2 linked regions of the Stegostoma tigrinum genome follow. The protein of the gene in region 1 interacts with the protein of each later gene in a pairwise test. Links are inferred from orthologs where the notes say so. Each region holds a gene or a part of one and is shown on either strand. Other genes may lie near its edges. The genes, in order: mtmr9 and EMILIN-1-A-like.

The links.
Region 2: the proteins of mtmr9 (region 1) and EMILIN-1-A-like interact in binary tests that used the Homo sapiens proteins (3 or more experiments, as listed by UniProt). The link is inferred for Stegostoma tigrinum from reciprocal best matches to the Homo sapiens genes MTMR9 and EMILIN1.

Annotation. Positions count from the first base shown.
Region 1 is NC_081357.1:78,593,374-78,602,233, reverse strand, and holds the start of mtmr9 (myotubularin-related protein 9), read right to left. Parts: upstream 3,217-8,860; 5' UTR 3,144-3,216; coding exon 2,962-3,143; intron 539-2,961; coding exon 430-538; intron 1-429. UniProt on the Homo sapiens protein: Acts as an adapter for myotubularin-related phosphatases. Increases lipid phosphatase MTMR6 catalytic activity, specifically towards phosphatidylinositol 3,5-bisphosphate and MTMR6 binding affinity for phosphorylated phosphatidylinositols.
Region 2 is NC_081362.1:99,071,449-99,079,799, reverse strand, and holds the start of EMILIN-1-A-like, read right to left. Parts: upstream 3,643-8,351; 5' UTR 3,097-3,642; coding exon 2,942-3,096; intron 1-2,941. UniProt on the Homo sapiens protein: Involved in elastic and collagen fibers formation. It is required for EFEMP2 deposition into the extracellular matrix, and collagen network assembly and cross-linking via protein-lysine 6-oxidase/LOX activity.

The sequences.
Region 1 (8,860 bases):
TTAAGACTGGATAAATACTTCCAACACTACACATTAAAATCTTCACTGAAACAGTCAAATAACATTTGAGAAGTTGTTATTGTTTCACTGAATTTGGACCTAGGTTTAAAAGTCAAAATTATCTCAACAGGCTACAATAATTTGACAAAAAGAAGTTTCAGCATCTCAACACACTGTCTTGTGTTCAAAACAAACCTGGACTATCCGTAATACACTCATTATTACTCAGAAAGCCAAAGCACAGCTGAAAAAAAAATCAAAGCTACAGCAAGAGTGTACTTTTGAAGTTAGAACTAAAGCATATCATAACCAAAAAAGGAATATTCATTCTGCCTGATCCTCAGCACTAAATCAAATCTTTTGAGAAGCTCTATTCTAATAATAATTTATCATAACTTGGAAAACAACTGATCAATAAAAAAATCTCACCTCAATAGAGCTTGCGATATTTAAACATTCTTCCATGCCAGGAATATCCAAGTGAATGATACGCAGATCCTTACATTTAATTGTAATTGAACCCAATGTTCCCACAAACCTGGAAATAAAGAAATACAATCTACTTAATAACAGCGGTATTTATACGTCATTTTTTTAAAAATTCTGCGCTTTCGAGAAATGGCTTTATTAGCATTAACACTCCCTATTAGCCTGGAATTCATGACAGTGTCAGTCAGATTTATGTAGGGCTATTGTTCGTTGTACAATGTGGTGATCAAAAGGAGTTTGCAGTGTACAGTGGGATGGGTCCTAGTGCTGATTTCTCTTCAAGTATGGAATATTTCAGTCAGACGGTGCTACATACTGGAGACACAGAATTTAAGTTATTTTCATTGTGCAGTCCTGCAAAATGATGAATTAGGTTAAGAGTTAGATTTTCTTTTGGCAATAACTGAAAATAAAGAGAATTATGATTTATTTTTTCTTTCTCCAATGATTAGAGCATTGCCCAGAGCTGCTTTCATAATGGCATGGTTTTAAGTAAGACTCAGAAAGACTGGGATTTATGCATCTTAATTTGTTCTTTCACTGGGTAGATAAATTTACTGATCCAAGAAACAGAAACCTATGGGTCTGCCACCAAAGATGACTTGCTCAGCACCTGGGGAATAGATCTCAAGGCAACACTTATTGAAACGTACTTTTATAAATTTTAAAGTTAGTCATGCATAATGTGAAGGATTCTTCTAATTATTTTAAATTGCTGAGCCCTCCTTTGTGGACTACGTTGATACGTTATTGCTGTGTAACACTGACTGTTTAAAAAACAAAATAATCTAAGTGATATCTTATCACACAGCTCACGTGGTAAGTTTAAAAAAGTATAAGGTGCCTTGTCGCGAAACCATCTCCACTGAATACAACTCGTATTTGTCTTTTCTTTGAGTCTTCCATGCTATTACCCAATTTCTGCCTCAATGATCCTTGTAAACTCTTGGTCACTTGTACTGTCCCCTATACCTTTATACAATTATGCTTTCAAACTAATCTACGTGAATTGAAAGGAACGACTATGGATGCCAGAAATGAACCAAAAACAGAAATTACTGGAGAAACTCAGGTCTGGCAGCATCTGTGGAGAGAATGCAGAGTCAAGTTAAGTCCAGTGACCCTCTGTCAGTCAAGTGACAGTTTAACTTAACTTTAGGAAGTAAGGACTAAACCCGTATGGAAATAAAGTCAACTGAAATACAGCCCCCACTGCTGCTAGCAATCATGTAGATAAGTGGTGTTCACATCAACATGTGTCAGATGGCAAAAATCAAAAAGTAGATTAACTTATATTTTTATAAAACAGGATTTTCCCATTTCTACTTAACAAATTGCACCCAGAATCCTAACACTCTTAATCCCAATCGAGCGGTTTCAATCAGCTATTTACACCTTCTTACAGTGCTTTTACATTGGCAAGTATTTATTGAACAGCCTGAAGTTGACAATGGATTTAATTAACCTTGCAGTTGCAACTATAGCAATATTGTTTGATACAGACGGTCAATGATGATTGATAGACATAAAGGATGTGAATAAAGACACCTGCAGGCAAAGGCACACAAATCTCAACAAGTAATAATACGAGTACTGTAGTAAAATGGACTTTGAAAGAGACCCACACTTCACTGACAGATTGCAAACATTTGGCACAGTGGCTATCACGGTGGACCGAGGTTGGCTTCCACCGTTGGACGACTATTTGCGTGGAAGTGCGCATATTCTCCCCGTGTCTGCGCGGCTTCCTCCAAGTTTACCGGTTTCTTCCCTCAGTCCAAAGAAATGCAAGCTACGTAGATTGGCCATTCTAAATTGCCCACGGTGTCCAGGGACGTGCAGGCTATGTGGAGTAGGCAAGGGATAGGGGTTCTGGAAGAGTAATCTTCGGAGGTTCGATGCGGACTTGAGACGAATAGCCTGCTTCCATACTGTAGGGATTCTATGACTCCACCTCTTAAACATTTGTTTCATACAAAAGACAAATTCGTGCAAGTACAGTGTGTGAGCCGCAATTACAACATACAGTGACAGATTTCTGGTCAATACTCGAGAGACAGGACATTACAGTTGGAGAAAGAGACAACATCTCCACGGGAGCAGATAAAGCGAAACTGAATTTTAGTGATTAGTGTAACATAGTTGCGAAACCTGTAGGAAAACAAAAAACAAGGAAATGGGGCGATCTTCTAGACTGCTCCAAATAACTGGACATGGGTATGGTTGACTATAAGTCAATAAAACTGGAGCTTGGAAAGCCACAGCAGGTCTGACAGCATCCAATGAGCAGGGAAGTCAATCTGTTGAGCCGAAACCCTTCGTCGGAAATTTATAGTTTATTTCTAAGCTGTTAGAGTTTACGAGCTCGTGGCCAAATCTGTTGACACATAAACCGTACAAGTGAGGTTAGGTCCGGCTACTTGCCTGCTACACAGTCGCCGCTGCTCGAAGCCCGACTCCAGCCTCACTCACCTTTTCTCGATGGCGTCGATGTTGTTGTGCAGTAGCCAGAGCTCCTCACTGTTATCCTGGCGGGAGGAGAGGATCAAGTGGTGCCCGGTCAGACACAGGGTGCCCTCCACCCGCGGCAGGAAAGGCCGGTGAAGGACCACATTGTCCACCCGCGGAGTCTTAATCAGCTCCGCGAACTCCATCGTCCACCCTCCCGGAACCCGCAGTGTCCGGACCACAATAACCTGCGCACCAACCACTCGACGGAAGACAGGTCCCGCAGTGCATTGCCCCCGAAAGACAACTTCCCGAGTCGTGGTTCCGACCAGAATTCACTGATTGTTGACGTTTCCGTCTCAGAAAGGTTAGCAATGGATTTCGTTCGTTTGGCCAGAAGGCCTGAGATTGCTTCACGCCGAATTACAGTCAACATGCCAAACGCCTTCTAGATCACTCTCTCCTCCAACCTGACAGCCACCACGGCTCAAATAGATAAAAAAAACAAAGTTAGAGAAAATCGGCAGGTCCGGAAGCAGCTGAGAGGAATAGAATTCAGGTTTCCAGTCCAATGTGAATTGTTCAGAAGTGAAGGGAGAATCAGAAAAGTGATGGATTTTTAGCTGCAGAACAAGGTGAAAGGAACAAGTAGAAAAATAAAGGTTAGAAGGCAAGGGATTAGTCGTGAAAGAGCGAAAGGCAAAGAGTTCACAGCAAAATGTAACTCAGCTCTGCTGAACATCAAAACCAAGAAGACCGTATGCTTGGGGTAGATGCTTAGGAAAGTATCAGAGAATAGAGTTCACTGTTTGAAGTTCCTGAAATTCCTCAAGGCTATCAGGAAATGATGGGAGGTGCTCTTAACTGAAGATGGCATGAGAAGGCCATTCTGCCAGATCAAGACAGGTGGTCAGAAGTAGTAGATGAGGTCAGCAACCTAGGTGACCTGGGTCCAAGAGTTGCAGAGAGGTGGTGACATCAGGCTCCTCGGTCCCTTTGAGGAGAAAATTCTGATCTGCGTGGAGAAGAGCATAATTCTTCACTTGGTAATGGAGAGTCCACAATAGCCAATCCACCAAGTAAGCTTCATTGTGCTCTTCTGCACTTTACTAATCCCCCATTATAACCAACACATTTTATTCCTCTTTGTCAACTCTCTTCTGCACTTCTATTATGTAAGCGTGAGCAAACCCGGCAAACCTGCACAAAGAGACCAGTGCTGGAGATTGTCAGCTGCACTTCCACCTCTGCTGAGGAAGCTACTGAATTCCTAGAGGATGCATTGACAGAGGCTTTCACCTTCACTCTCTACCAGCTCAGAGACTTTCACTTTGGTGTTCTACACTTTCTAAATTAGACTTGGGAACATGATCTGTTGAGCACATCACTGACTGTAGCTGATTGACAAAGGAACACCTTTGTCTGTAATACTCAGAGGGCAACCAGAGACCAGGCAACTGTTGGACTGCAGGCAGAACAGGAGCTTGTTCCCAACCATTATTGACTTTTCCAAAAAGCAGACAGACACAGGAACATCAGGTAGGCGTGTCAGAAGCACTTTGTAATCTAATTGAAAGATGGAGGAGTCCACCAATTTAATCAGTACAGTGCTAGCACTTGGCTGTGTGCATCCAGCTGTCAGACAAGTTGACATGGTCAGATAAAGCACCATGGACACCCAACTCGAGCACTTTAAGTGTTTGAAAAATATGGGTATAGATTACATTCCGTTGTTATATCCATTGTTAGTCAGCATCATTTGCAAGGGGGATATGGAAAGTCATTCTCATTCCAAGTGGCTCTTCCTGTCAGGGAGACAGCTTGGTAATGGCAGATACCAAAGAGGTAGAAAGAGCCACACGTAACCCCTAGAAATTTCTCCTCAGGACACCTGAGAGGTGTCCAGCCTCTCCAGTTTGCCCACCTCTGATTCCAGTCTGCAGCTCTTCAACTTGAGGATGATTAGCATGCATCTTGACAGGATACTGTCAGCAGACCTGGGTCATCTTGGCCCAAAGGCACCAGGGAACAAGTGCCCGAATATTCAGAGCATCCACATACTATGCTTCCTCTGACCCCATTGCAGAGATCAGGACTGCATTTAAAAGAGTATGAAGAGGGGAAGAAAACAAATTACTGAGAACATAGTGGAGACACGGATGAAATATCATTATAACTAATCTTCCACTTTTGTAAATGCATATTAGTTTGCACTGCTAAAATATCTATATAATTTTCGTTGTCAGACCTGGTTATGTATCATCCGTGTGAAAGATCGGCAGCATCTTCTCCAATACCCCAAGAAAGAAAGGAGTTCCAATTGCCAAGTATTGCTCTTCACTCACAAGCAACTGACTGCTTGAAAGCGGATAGCCTCAGCAATCCTTAAAATGCGGCATTAAGGACGGCAGCCAAGGTGTTCCACTTGGACAATGTTAAGGCCAAATGCAATGTGCAAGAAATGCGCTTAGGTCTGCTGTGGACACACAATTCCATACTGAAAACCACCTTCTGGTGGCGAGTGTGGAATCAGTGGTGATTTTACACATTTCTATAGGGAAAGTTAGTGTGACGCATCAACTTAGCAAGGGAGGCCACTGACATTCAAGTCTGGCAGAGATGACGAAAATGACGGCAATGCCTGCAGATGTGGGATCTCTTTATATTCCCTTGTCTCCTTGGTGGATCTTCACCTGCTGTTTCTCCCTCTGGAACATGTGCTTTTAGCACTGGAACTTTCTTATCCTCCTGATGTAGTTGTCTCCTTTTATATTGTTTTTGGTTAGTGCATTGAGTATAGGATTTGGGACATTGTGTTGTGACTGTACAGAACATTGGTGAGGCCACTTTTAGAATACTGTGTTCAGTTCTGGTCTCCCTGCTTTAGGAAAGCTGTTGTTAAACTTGAAAGAGTTCAGAAAAGATTTACAAGGATGTTGCTGAAATTTGAGCATTTGAAATACAGGAAGAGGCTGAACAGGTTGGGCTTTTTTTCCTTTGAATGTTGAAGGGAAACATGTTCTCATTCCAAGTAGCTCTTCCTCTCAGGGAGGCAGGTTGGTGCCAGGAAGTACCAGGAGACAGAAGGAACCACACACACACACACACACAGACACACACACACACAGACACACACACACACAGACACACACACACACACACACACACACACACACACACACACACACACACACACACACACATACATACATACAGTCCCCAGAAGCTTCTTCTCAGGACACCTTAGAGGTGTCTGACCTCTCCAGTTTTCCCATCACTGATCCCAGTCTGCAGCTGTTTGACTTGCATGCATCTTGGCAGGATACTGTCAGCAGACCTGGGTCAGCTGGGCCCGAAGGCACCAAGCAACAATTGCCCAATCTTTCGAGCAACCAAATAACATGTCGAGCATTTAGAGGGTTAATAGCCAAGGTCATTTTCCCAAGGTAGTGGAGTCCAAATCAGGGGGCAAAGGTTTCAGGTGAGAGGGGAAAGATTTAAAAGGATTGGGGTGGGGGGGGACATTTTTACACTGATGGTGGTGTGTGTAATGGAATGAGCTGCTAGGAAAGGTGGTGGAAGTGATTACAATTACGGCATTTAAAAGGCATTTGGATTGGTGCGTGAATAGGAAGGGTGTAGACGTCTATGGGCTAAGACCTGGCAAATGCGACAAGATCATTTTAGAATACCTGGTTGGCACGGATAAGTTAGAATAAAGAGTCTGTTTCAATGCTGACTCTATGGCTCCAGATACTGCTTATTCATGTGAGATCAGAGAGCAGATAACCTGTCAGGAACCAAGGAAGATACCACAGTTTTATTGAAGGAACTCGAGTTTTCACATCTGCTACACAGTAACATGTTCAACTCCTTGACTGGTCAGCCCTCTCCACCATCACCATCTCACCTCAAACCCATACCCTCTACTTTTGGAGATAATGGGAACTGCAGATGCTGGAGAATTCCAAGACAATAAAATGTGAGGCTGGATGAACACAGCAGGCCAAGCAGCATCCCAGGAGCACAAAAGCTGACATTTCGGGCCTAGACCCTTCATCAGAGAGGGGGATGGGGAGAGGGAACTGGAATAAATAGGGAGAGAAGGGGAGGCGGACCGAAGATGGAGAGTAAAGAAGATAGGTGGAGAGAGTATAGGTGGGGAGGTAGGGAGGGGATAGGTCAGTCCAGGGAAGACGGACAGGTCAAGGAGGTGGGATGAGGTTAGTAGGTAGATGGGGGTGCGGCTTGGGGTAGGAGGAAGGGATGGGTGAGAGGAAGAACTGGTTAGGGAGGCAGAGACAGGTTGGACTGGTTTTGGGATGCAGTGGGTGGGGGGGAAGAGCTGGGCTGGTTGTGTGGTGCAGTGGGGGGAGGGGACGAACTGGGCTGGTTTAGGGATGCAGTAGGGGAAGGGGAGATTTTGAAACTGGTGAAGTCCACATTGATACCATTAGGCTGCAGGGTTCCCAGGCGGAATATGAGTTGCTGTTCCTGCAACCTTCGGGTGGCATCATTGTGGCAGTGCAGGAGGCCCATGATGGACATGTCATCTAGAGAATGGGAGGGGGAGTGGAAATGGTTTGCGACTGGGAGGTGCAGTTGTTTGTTGCGAACTGAGCGGAGGTGTTCTGCAAAGCGGTCTCCAAGCCTCCGCTTGGTTTCCCCAATGTAGAGGAAGCCGCACCGGGTACAGTGGATGCAGTATACCACATTGGCAGATGTGCAGGTGAACCTCTGCTTAATGTGGAATGTCATCTTGGGGCCTGGGATTGGGGTGAGGGAGGAGGTGTGGGGGCAAGTGTTGCATTTCCTGCGGTTGCAGGGGAAGGTGCCGGGTGTGGTGAGGTTGGAGGGCAGTGTGGAACGAACAAGGGAGTCACGGAGAGAGCGGTCTCTCCGGAAAGCAGACAGGGGTGGGGATGGAAAAATGTCTTGGGTGGTGGGGTCGGATTGTAAATGGCGAAAGTGTCGGAGGATGGTGCGTTGTATCCGGAGGTTGGTAGGGTGGTGTGTGAGAACGAGGGGGATCCTCTTAGGGCAGTTGTGGCGGGGGCGGGGTGTGAGGGATGTGTTGCGGGAAATACAGGAGACGTGATCAAGGGCGTTCTCGATCACTGTGGGGGGAAAGTTGCGGTCCTTGAAGAACTTGGACATCTGGGATGTGCGGGAGTGGAATGTCTTATCGTGGGAGCAGATGCGGCAGAGGCGGAGGAAGTGGGAATAGGGGATGGAATTTTTACAGGAGGGTGGGTGGGAGGAGGTGTATTCTAGGTAGCTGTGGGAGTCGGTGGGCTTGAAATGGACCTCAGTTACAAGCTGGTTGCCTGAGATGGAGACTGAGAGGTCCAGGAAGGTGAGGGATGTGCTGGAGATGGCCCAGGTGAACTGAAGGTTGGGGTGGAAGGTGTTGGTGAAGTGGATGAACTGTTCGAGCTCCTCTGGGGAGCAAGAGGTGGCGCCGATACAGTCATCAATGTACCGGAGGAAGAGGTGGGGTTTGGGGCCTGTGTAGGTGCGGAAGAGGGACTGTTCCACGTAACCTACAAAGAGGCAGGCATAGCTGGGGCCCATGCGGGTGCCCATGGCCACCCCCTTAGTCTGTAGGAAGTGGGAGGAGTCAAAAGAGAAGTTGTTGAGGGTGAGGACGAGTTCAGCTAGGCGGATGAGAGTGTCGGTGGAGGGGGACTGGTCGGGCCTGCGGGACAGGAAGAAGCGGAGGGCCTTGAGGCCATCTGCATGCGGAATGCAGGTGTATAGGGACTGGACGTCCATGGTGAATATGAGGTGTTGGGGGCCAGGGAATTGCAAGTCCTGGAGGAGTTGGAGGGCGTGGGTGGTGTCACGGACGTAGGTGGGGAGTTCCTGGACCAAAGGGGAGAAAATGGAGCCCAGATAGGTGGAGATGAGTTCGGTGGGGCAG
Region 2 (8,351 bases), on another chromosome or scaffold:
TTTTGAATCCAAATACATAGAAACATGGAAGATAGGAAAAGGAGAAGGTCTTTTGGCCCTTTGAGCCTGCTCCTCCATTCATCACGGTCATGGCTGATTGTCCAATTCAATACTGTAACCCTGCTTTCTCCCCATAACCTTTGATCCCGTTCACCCCTAAGTGCTCTATCTAGACACCTCTGGAATACATTCAATATTTTGGCATCAACTGCCTCCTGTGGTGATGAATTCCACAGACTCACCACTCTTTGGGTGAAAAAATGTCTCCTCATCTCCATCCTAAATGGTCTCCTCCAAATCCTCAGACTGTGACCCATGGTTCTGGACACAGCCACCATCGGGAACATCCCCCCCCCCTGCATCTACCCTGTCCAGTCCCGTTAGTCTCCATGAGACCCCGCCCTCCTCCTCATTTGTCTGAACTCTCTCAAAAACAATCCCAACGTAGTCAATATCTCCTCATATGTCAGTCCCACCATCCCCGGAATCAACCCGGTAAACCTTTGCTGCACTCCCTCGAGAGCAAAAGGGAGACCAAAGCTGCACATAATATTCTTGGTGTGGTCTCACCAAGGCCCTGTACAACTGCAACAACACATCCCTGCTCCTGTACTCAAAACCTCTCGCAATGAAGCCCAACATACCATTTGCCTTCTTTACCACCTGCTGCGCCTGCATGTGACTGGTGCACAAGGACACCCAGGTCCTGCTGCGCACTCCCCTCTCCCAATTTACAATCTAGCTCTCCCTGAATTCCATGTGATCTCTCCTTGCTAACCAATTTGCCATAAGGAATCTTGTCAAACACCTTGCTGAAAACGTAAGGACAATGTCCACCACTCTGCCTTCACCAATCCTCTTCGTCACTTCTTCAAAAAACTCAATCAAGTTAGTGAGACATAACTTCCCACACACAAAGCCATGTCAGCTATCTCTAACCAGTCCTTGCCTTTTCGAATACATATAACGCCTATCCCTCAGGATCTCCTCCAACAACTTGCACACCACTGAGGACAGGCTTATCAGTCTACAGTTTCCTGGATTTTCCTTACCAGCTTACTTAAATATATAGTACCCTGCTAGCCAACCTTCAGTCTTCCGGTACCTCACCTGTGGCTATAAATGATACAAGAATCTCAGTAAGGGGACCAGCAATCACTTTGCTCGCTTCCCACAAAGTTCAATGGGAGTAAACGATAGGTGGGGATAGAGCCCAAAGAGAGAAGAACAGTTGAACAGACAAAGGAGTAGATAACAGTCTGTCTGGGAGAATGAATATCTGCTAATGGGGAATATTAGTGGCTAACAATGGGTCATGTATAATCGCAGATCAAAGCCTTGGGTGTTGGGGTGGGGAAAGTATGGGGAAGGTGTTCAGTTCCTAAAGTTGTTGAACTCAATACTGAGTCCTGAGGCTGTAGCGTTCCCAAGTGGAAAACGGAGTGCTGTTCTTCTGGCTTGCACTGATCTTTGTTGAAGTACTTCAGCAAGCACTAGACAAAGAAGTTGGACAGGGAACGCAGTGGTGTGTGGAAATGGCAGGCAACTAGAAGCTCAGGATCTCAGGACAAAGAGGGCACGGTTAAGGTAGGTCAAGGGAGAGTGGGGCAGGGCAAGGCAAAGACGCTTTGTGCATTGAAGTAGACATGAGTAAGTGACTATTCAGAGAACTCTGAGATCCACGAGCTGATGCCTGTCTCTGTGACAATGCAGCATCTTTTCAATGAGAGGTTCCAGGGCAGTATTTACAGAACTATACTACATGTGGATCAAGATTTGCCATGATAGTGGCCAGTGTCTGTGGGCTTGGGGTGTGTGTGAAGCTGGTGGATGGCCAGAGGAGCACTCGTTGGGATGGGGGTTGCCCAGTAGCCACTCAGAATTTCATGTCAGGAATCCTTGATGTCTGGCTGCTATCTGCCATGTGGTAGAAAAGGGAGTTGCATATTAATGAGGTGAAATTTGGTGTTAATGAGACAGATACTGAACAGTAATTCCTGGTAATAGGCATTTCACCACTTGCTAGACAAAATCTTATCGCAATGTCTAGAACCAGTTGGGAGTTGCTCTGACGCTGAAAAAAGACTCATACGACTTCTCCCTACAACCCACATCATTCTGGAAATTCAATATTCCAGCTATCAATATTCCAGCTATTCAATATTCCAGCTTGAACCCCTCTTCCCTCCATCTCCTCAATTCACTCTTTCACCCTTTCCCCTGTCTCTACTCCTTCCTCTCTGTCCTTCTCTCCCTCTCCTCATCACCACACCCCTTTCCCACATCCCTCCTCCCCTGTTCTCTTCCCTCACTCCCTCCCTCTCTCCATTTCTGTTTGACTTTCTTGCTTTCTCCCTCTCCCTCTAGCCATTCCCCAATCCTCCTTCTCCCTCTCTCCTCCTCCTCCCCCACTTTCTGTCCCCTTTCCCCATTTCACCTCTCACTCTCTCTTCCCCCTTACCCACCTCTCTTCCTTTGCCCCCACCCACTCTCCCTTTCTCTTTTCCTCCCACACTTCTCACTCAGTGTCTCTCACTCCCCTCCCTCTCTTCTCCTCCTCGCAATCTCCCTCTCCCTCTCTCTCTCCATCTCTATCCACCTTTGTTCCCCACTCCCTTCAATCTGTTCTCCTGACTCTCTCTCAGCCTCCTCTCCCTCTTCCTCCATCTCACTTCTCTATCTTTCACTCCCCTCTCTCCCCCTTTCATCTCCCCTACTTCTTTCTCCATTTCTCCCTTTCCAATTCCTTTCTCTCCCTACCTCACACTTTCCTCTCCCCTTCTTCCCTCCCTCTCTTCCTTCCATTCTCTCCCTCTTCCCTGTTCCCAACTCACCTCTTCCCTTCCCCTCCCATTCCTCTCTCTCCCTCTCCTCTACCCCCACACACTCACCCTTTCCCCCTCACCCCCACCCCTGCCCTCTCTCTCCTCCTCTCCCTTACCTGTGCCTGCTGGTTGCCCTCACTCCGGGCTCCGCCTGGCTGCTGTGTTCCGCGGAGACTGCCGAGTACAGGGGGTATCTTTGGGGATAACTGACCGCCGCAGCCCGCACCAGGATCGACAGGAGGTAGAGAAACTGACAGAGAGCCCTGGCCATGCTCGCAGGCGCTCACCAAACTCTAGTCTCGACAGGGATTCTGGATCAACCGGGATCAACCAGCGCCTGGATCCCTCCCGGGATTCCAGCCACTTCCTGAGAAACTTCTCCAAACTTGGGAAACGTTCCTTTCGATCCTGTGTCGATTATTTCATTCAATGCTCCCTGAAACTTCTCTCCCTCTCTTTTCCCACACTCTGCTTCGTTCTTTGCCTGGGTTTTTTTCTCTGTCACCGTCTCTTTTTCTCTCTCTCCTGCTGCCTTTCCGAAGATTTTCCTCCCTCCCTCCCTCTCTATTTTTCACTCCCTGCTTTCTCTCTCTCGGGGACTCACATCTGGAGCTAATTAATCTCAGCCTCCGGAATGTAAAATATTGCTTCGCTGCCAAAAACCCTTTTTATTCTCGGAAAACCTGAACTCCTCCCATAAGGCTGTCCCAATCCACGGTAAGTACCCCCTTCTGCCTTAATCCTCTTCCCCCCTCTTTCTGATCTCCTGCCCTCTACCCACAACACTCACCCCGCTCCGATCTCTCTGCTGTCTCTCTCTCTCTTTTTCCTCCTGCAAATGCTCCCCCCAATCCTTCTCTCTTCACCCCCCCCCCCCCCGACCCCTTCCCTCCCCCTCTGCCCCTGTCACATTTCACTCCTCCCCCTTGCTAACACTATCCAGTGCCCCTAACATCAACAGACAAAGCTGTGCTTCAGGATATGCCGATGTTAGTGTATTTAATGTCTGAAGTGAGGAGATTCTGGGAAGTAATTCCAGAGTTTAGGGTTTGAACAGCGCAGATGAAGCATGCTGTCCCCCGGTAAAGATCAGAACCCTACCAGAGATGGGGTAAATTAAAACAAACAGCAGAAGAGGGAAGGGGCACAGAAGCCTCCCAGATTGGTAGGACATGGGGAAGTTGCAGAGCAGGTAAGGCCGCTGAGGGATTTGAAAGCAGAATGAGAATTTTAAAATGGAGGCACCAATGGACCTTGCTGTCTCAGCAGGTTCTGTGACCCTTGTCTGATTTCTATTTAAAGGATGACAAACTCCTTCTGCTGTTCTTATGTTTGTTTTGAAATCTCCACATGCTACATTTACTGGAAGCTGATTAAATCTTAGGGGTGTGATTGAAAAAGCCAAGGTTCGATTTCCAGCATCACACTTCAGCCTTGGCCAGTACTTTCATGATGAAGGGGGCCCCAGGGAAAGTTTATGGAGCTTTAATCTGTGACCAAGAGGAAGAACAGAGTCTGTATTGTAAGCACAGATAGCTAAGCCAGACAGACAGACATCCTGAGAAGCACATCAGGATTGACCGAAATGGAACTCCCATTGAGGAACAAAGCCTTCAGCTCAATGCTGGCACAGTTACACCTTCATTGTCTCTGTTACACTACTGTTCCACAATTCCTTTCGCAAGTCAATTTCTCCTGCCATTTATTTTCTTTTAGTTGTTAATTTATTGAGCATTTATTGTTGATCCCTAACTGCCAGTTGAATTGATTGGTTTGCTTGGGCCATTTCAGAGAACACAGTGTGGAAACAGACTCTCCCTCTACTTTCTGGAGAGACCACTCTCTTCGGGACTCCCTTGTCTGCTCCACACTCCCCTCCAACCCCACCACACCCGGCACTTTCCCCTGCAACCGCAGGAAGTGCTACACTTGCCCCCACACCTCCTCCCTCACCCCCATCCCAGGCCCAAAGAAGACTTTCCACATCAAGCAGATGTTCACCTGCACATCTGCCAATGTGGTGTACTGCATCCGCTGCTAGCAAAGTGTGGAGCGGATGAACACAGCAGGCCAAGCAGCATCTTAGCAGCACAAAAGCTGGCATTTTGGGCTAAGGATCTAGGCCTGAAACGACAGCTATTGTGCTCCTAAGATGCTGCTTGGCCTGCTGTGTTCATCCAGCTCCACACTTTGTTATCTCAGATTCTCCAGCATCTACAGTTCCCATTATCTCTCCACTGCATCCGCTGTACCCGTTGTGGCCTCCTCTACATCGGGGAAACCAAGCGGAGGCTTGGGGATCGCTTTGCAGAACACTTACGCTCAGTTCACAATAAACAACTGCACCTCCCAATCGTGAACCATTTCAAATTCCCCTCCCATTCCTTAGATGAGATGTCCATCCTGGGTCTCTTGCAGTGCCACAACGATGCCACCCGAAGGTTGCAGGAACAGCACCTCATATTCCGCTCGGAAACCTTGTAGCCCAATGGTATCAATGTGGACTTCACAAGCTTCAAAACCTCCCCTCCCTCCACTGCATCCCAAAACCAGCCCAGCTTGTCCCTGCCTCCCTAACCCGTTCTTCCTCACACCTATCCCCTCCTCCCACCTCAAGCCACACCTCCATTTCCTACCTACTAACCTCATCCCATCTCCTTGGCCTGTCCGTCCTCCCCGGACTGACCTATCCCCTCCCTACCTCCCCACCTATACTCACCTCTACAGGCTCCATCCCCGTCCCTTTAACTTGTCTGTCTCCTCTCCACCTATCTTCTCCTCTATCCATCTTCAATCTGCTTCCCCCTCTCTCCCTATTCATTTCAGAACCCTCTCCCCCTCCCCCTTTTCCGATGAAGGGTCCAGGCCCGAAACATCAGCTTTTGTGCTCCTAAGATGCTGCTTGGCCTGTTGTGTTCATCCAGCTCCACACTTTGTTATTTCAGTCCAACTCGTCCACATCGACCAAGTTTCCTAAACTGAACTAGTCCAACTTGTCTGCATTTGGTTCGTATCCCTCTACAGCTTTCGTAAAAATGTACCTGTCCAAATGTCTTTTCTAGATTGTATTGCGCCCACCTCTACCATTTCCTCTAACATTAAGGGTCTTCCACTCTGTTGTGGGTCTGGAGTCACATGTAGGCCAGACAGGGTGGCAGGATAGCAAATTTCCTTTCTTAAAGGACATTAGTGAACCAGATGGGTTTCTAAGAACAAAAAACAGCGGTGACATGATTTGTATGAGGCTACTTTTTATTGAATTCCCCAAAGCATTAGCCTGGGGTTCTGCATTACAAGCACAGTGACATTGCCACAATGCAGCTGCATCCCTACAGCTTCTTTTCCCCCCGCATTTAGAGGCCATCTCCCAATTCTTGCTTGATGCCCCCTATCCACTTCCACCCAGCACCTCAGCTGTTCATGGACATGTTAATGATTTAGATGAGGGAACTAGATGTAATATCTCAAAATTTGCAGATGCTACAAAGCTGGATGGTAGGATGAACTGTGAGGAGGATGCATAGATGTTGCAATGTGATTGGGACAAGCTGAATGAGTAGGCAAATGCAAGGCAGATATAGTTTAATGTAGATGAATGTGAGGTTATCCAATTTGATAGGACCGGAAGGCAGATTATTATGTGAATGACAGTAAGTGTGAGACAGGGAGAATGATCAGTGAGATCTGGAATAGAAATTATGGGAACTGCAGATGCTGGAGAACCCGAGATAACAAGGTGTAGAGCTGGATGAACACAGCAGGCCAAGCAGCATCAGCAGAGCAGGAAGGCTGATGTTTCGAGCCCAGGCCCTTCATCAAAAACAGATCTGGATGTCCTTGAGCACCAGTTGCTGAAAGTAAGTGCACAGGTGCAAAAGGCAGTGAAGAGGCCTTCATTGCACAAGGACTTGAATACAGAAACAAGTTTATCCTTGGAAACCCCAATACACTAAAGATATTCACCCTGTTTCTGATCCACACATAAACCAGATCTTCCAATGGCTATATTTGTTAGTCTTATGTGGATTCCATTCTCTACTCCCACTATCCATGTCATTTCACTCCACACAGGAATATAAAACTATAAAAAGAGGGAGCAGGTGTAGGCCATTTGGCCCACCCACTCTGCTGTATAATTCAATAAAGAGCATGGCTGATTTGGTTGTGGCATTCAGGAAATAATAAAAGGTACTTTTGCCCTTCCAATAATTATTGACCAAAAACATGTTTAACTCAGTTTTGAATATATTCAACAGTGTAGTCTCTGCTGCTGTCCGGGCAAGAGAATTCCAGATGTTAACAATTATCCAGAAGAAGTTCTTCATCATCTCTGTCTTAAATGGGAGTCTTTTCATCTCTAAACTGTACTGCCTCGTTCTAGATACCCCCACGAGATGAAAGATTTCCGTAGTCACCATCTCAATCCCATCAAGGCCCTTCAGAATCTAATATATTTCAATAAAATCACCCTTCATTCTTCCGAACTCTAATGAGCATTGTCCCAAAACAGCCAAATGAAGAGTATCCGAACTGCTCCCAATGCAAGAACATCCCTTCTGAAATAAGGAGACTCTAACTGTATAATTATACACCAGGGTCAGTCTCAGCAATACCCTGTATGGTTGTAGTAAGACTTCCTTTCTTTAACACTCCATTCCTCCCCACAAAAAACAGCTACATTCCATTTGTTTTGCTGTATCAGCAAGCTAATTGCTTTTTTGCAATTCATGTATAAGGACACCCTGATCCATCTTTAATGCAGTATTCTGCAGACTCTTATAAAAGTCATATTCTGCTTTTCTGTTGTATCTGCCAATCTTCACATTTTCCTACAATGTATTTGAAGTGGAAAACTTTTGTCCACTCTTACATCTATTTGCATCCCTGTGCAGACTCTGCATTGTGCATTTAATGATGTGGACATCACTAACATTTGTTACCCATTCTAGCTGTGAGAAAGTGGAGGTGAGCTGTGACAAAACAACTTGTCTCCTTATCATTAATACAGATTCTAAATACAGTAGTTAACAAGTCAGCACTGATCCCTGGGGCACTCCACTAATTAGTCTGCCAACTGAAAACTCCACTTATCTCAAAATAATAAAACGTGAGGCTGGATGAACACAGCAGGCCAAGCAGCATCTCAGGAGCACAAAAAGCTGACGTTTCGGGCCTGGAACCTTCATCAGAGAGGGGGATGGGGAGAGGGAACTGGAATAAATAGGGAGAGAGGGGGAGGCGGACTGAAGATGGAGAGTAAAGAAGATAGGTGGAGAGAGTATAGGTGGGGAGGTAGGGAGGGGATAGGTCAGTCCAGGGAAGACGGACAGGTCAAGGAGGTGGGATGAGGTTAGTAGGTAGATGGGGGTGCGGCTTGGGGTGGGAGGAAGGGATGGGTGAGAGGAAGAACCGGTTAGGGAGGCAGAGACAGGTTGGACTGGTTTTGGGATGCAGTGGGTGGGGGGGAAGAGCTGGGCTGGTTGTGTGGTGCAGTGGGGGGAGGGGACGAACTGGGCTGGTTTAGGG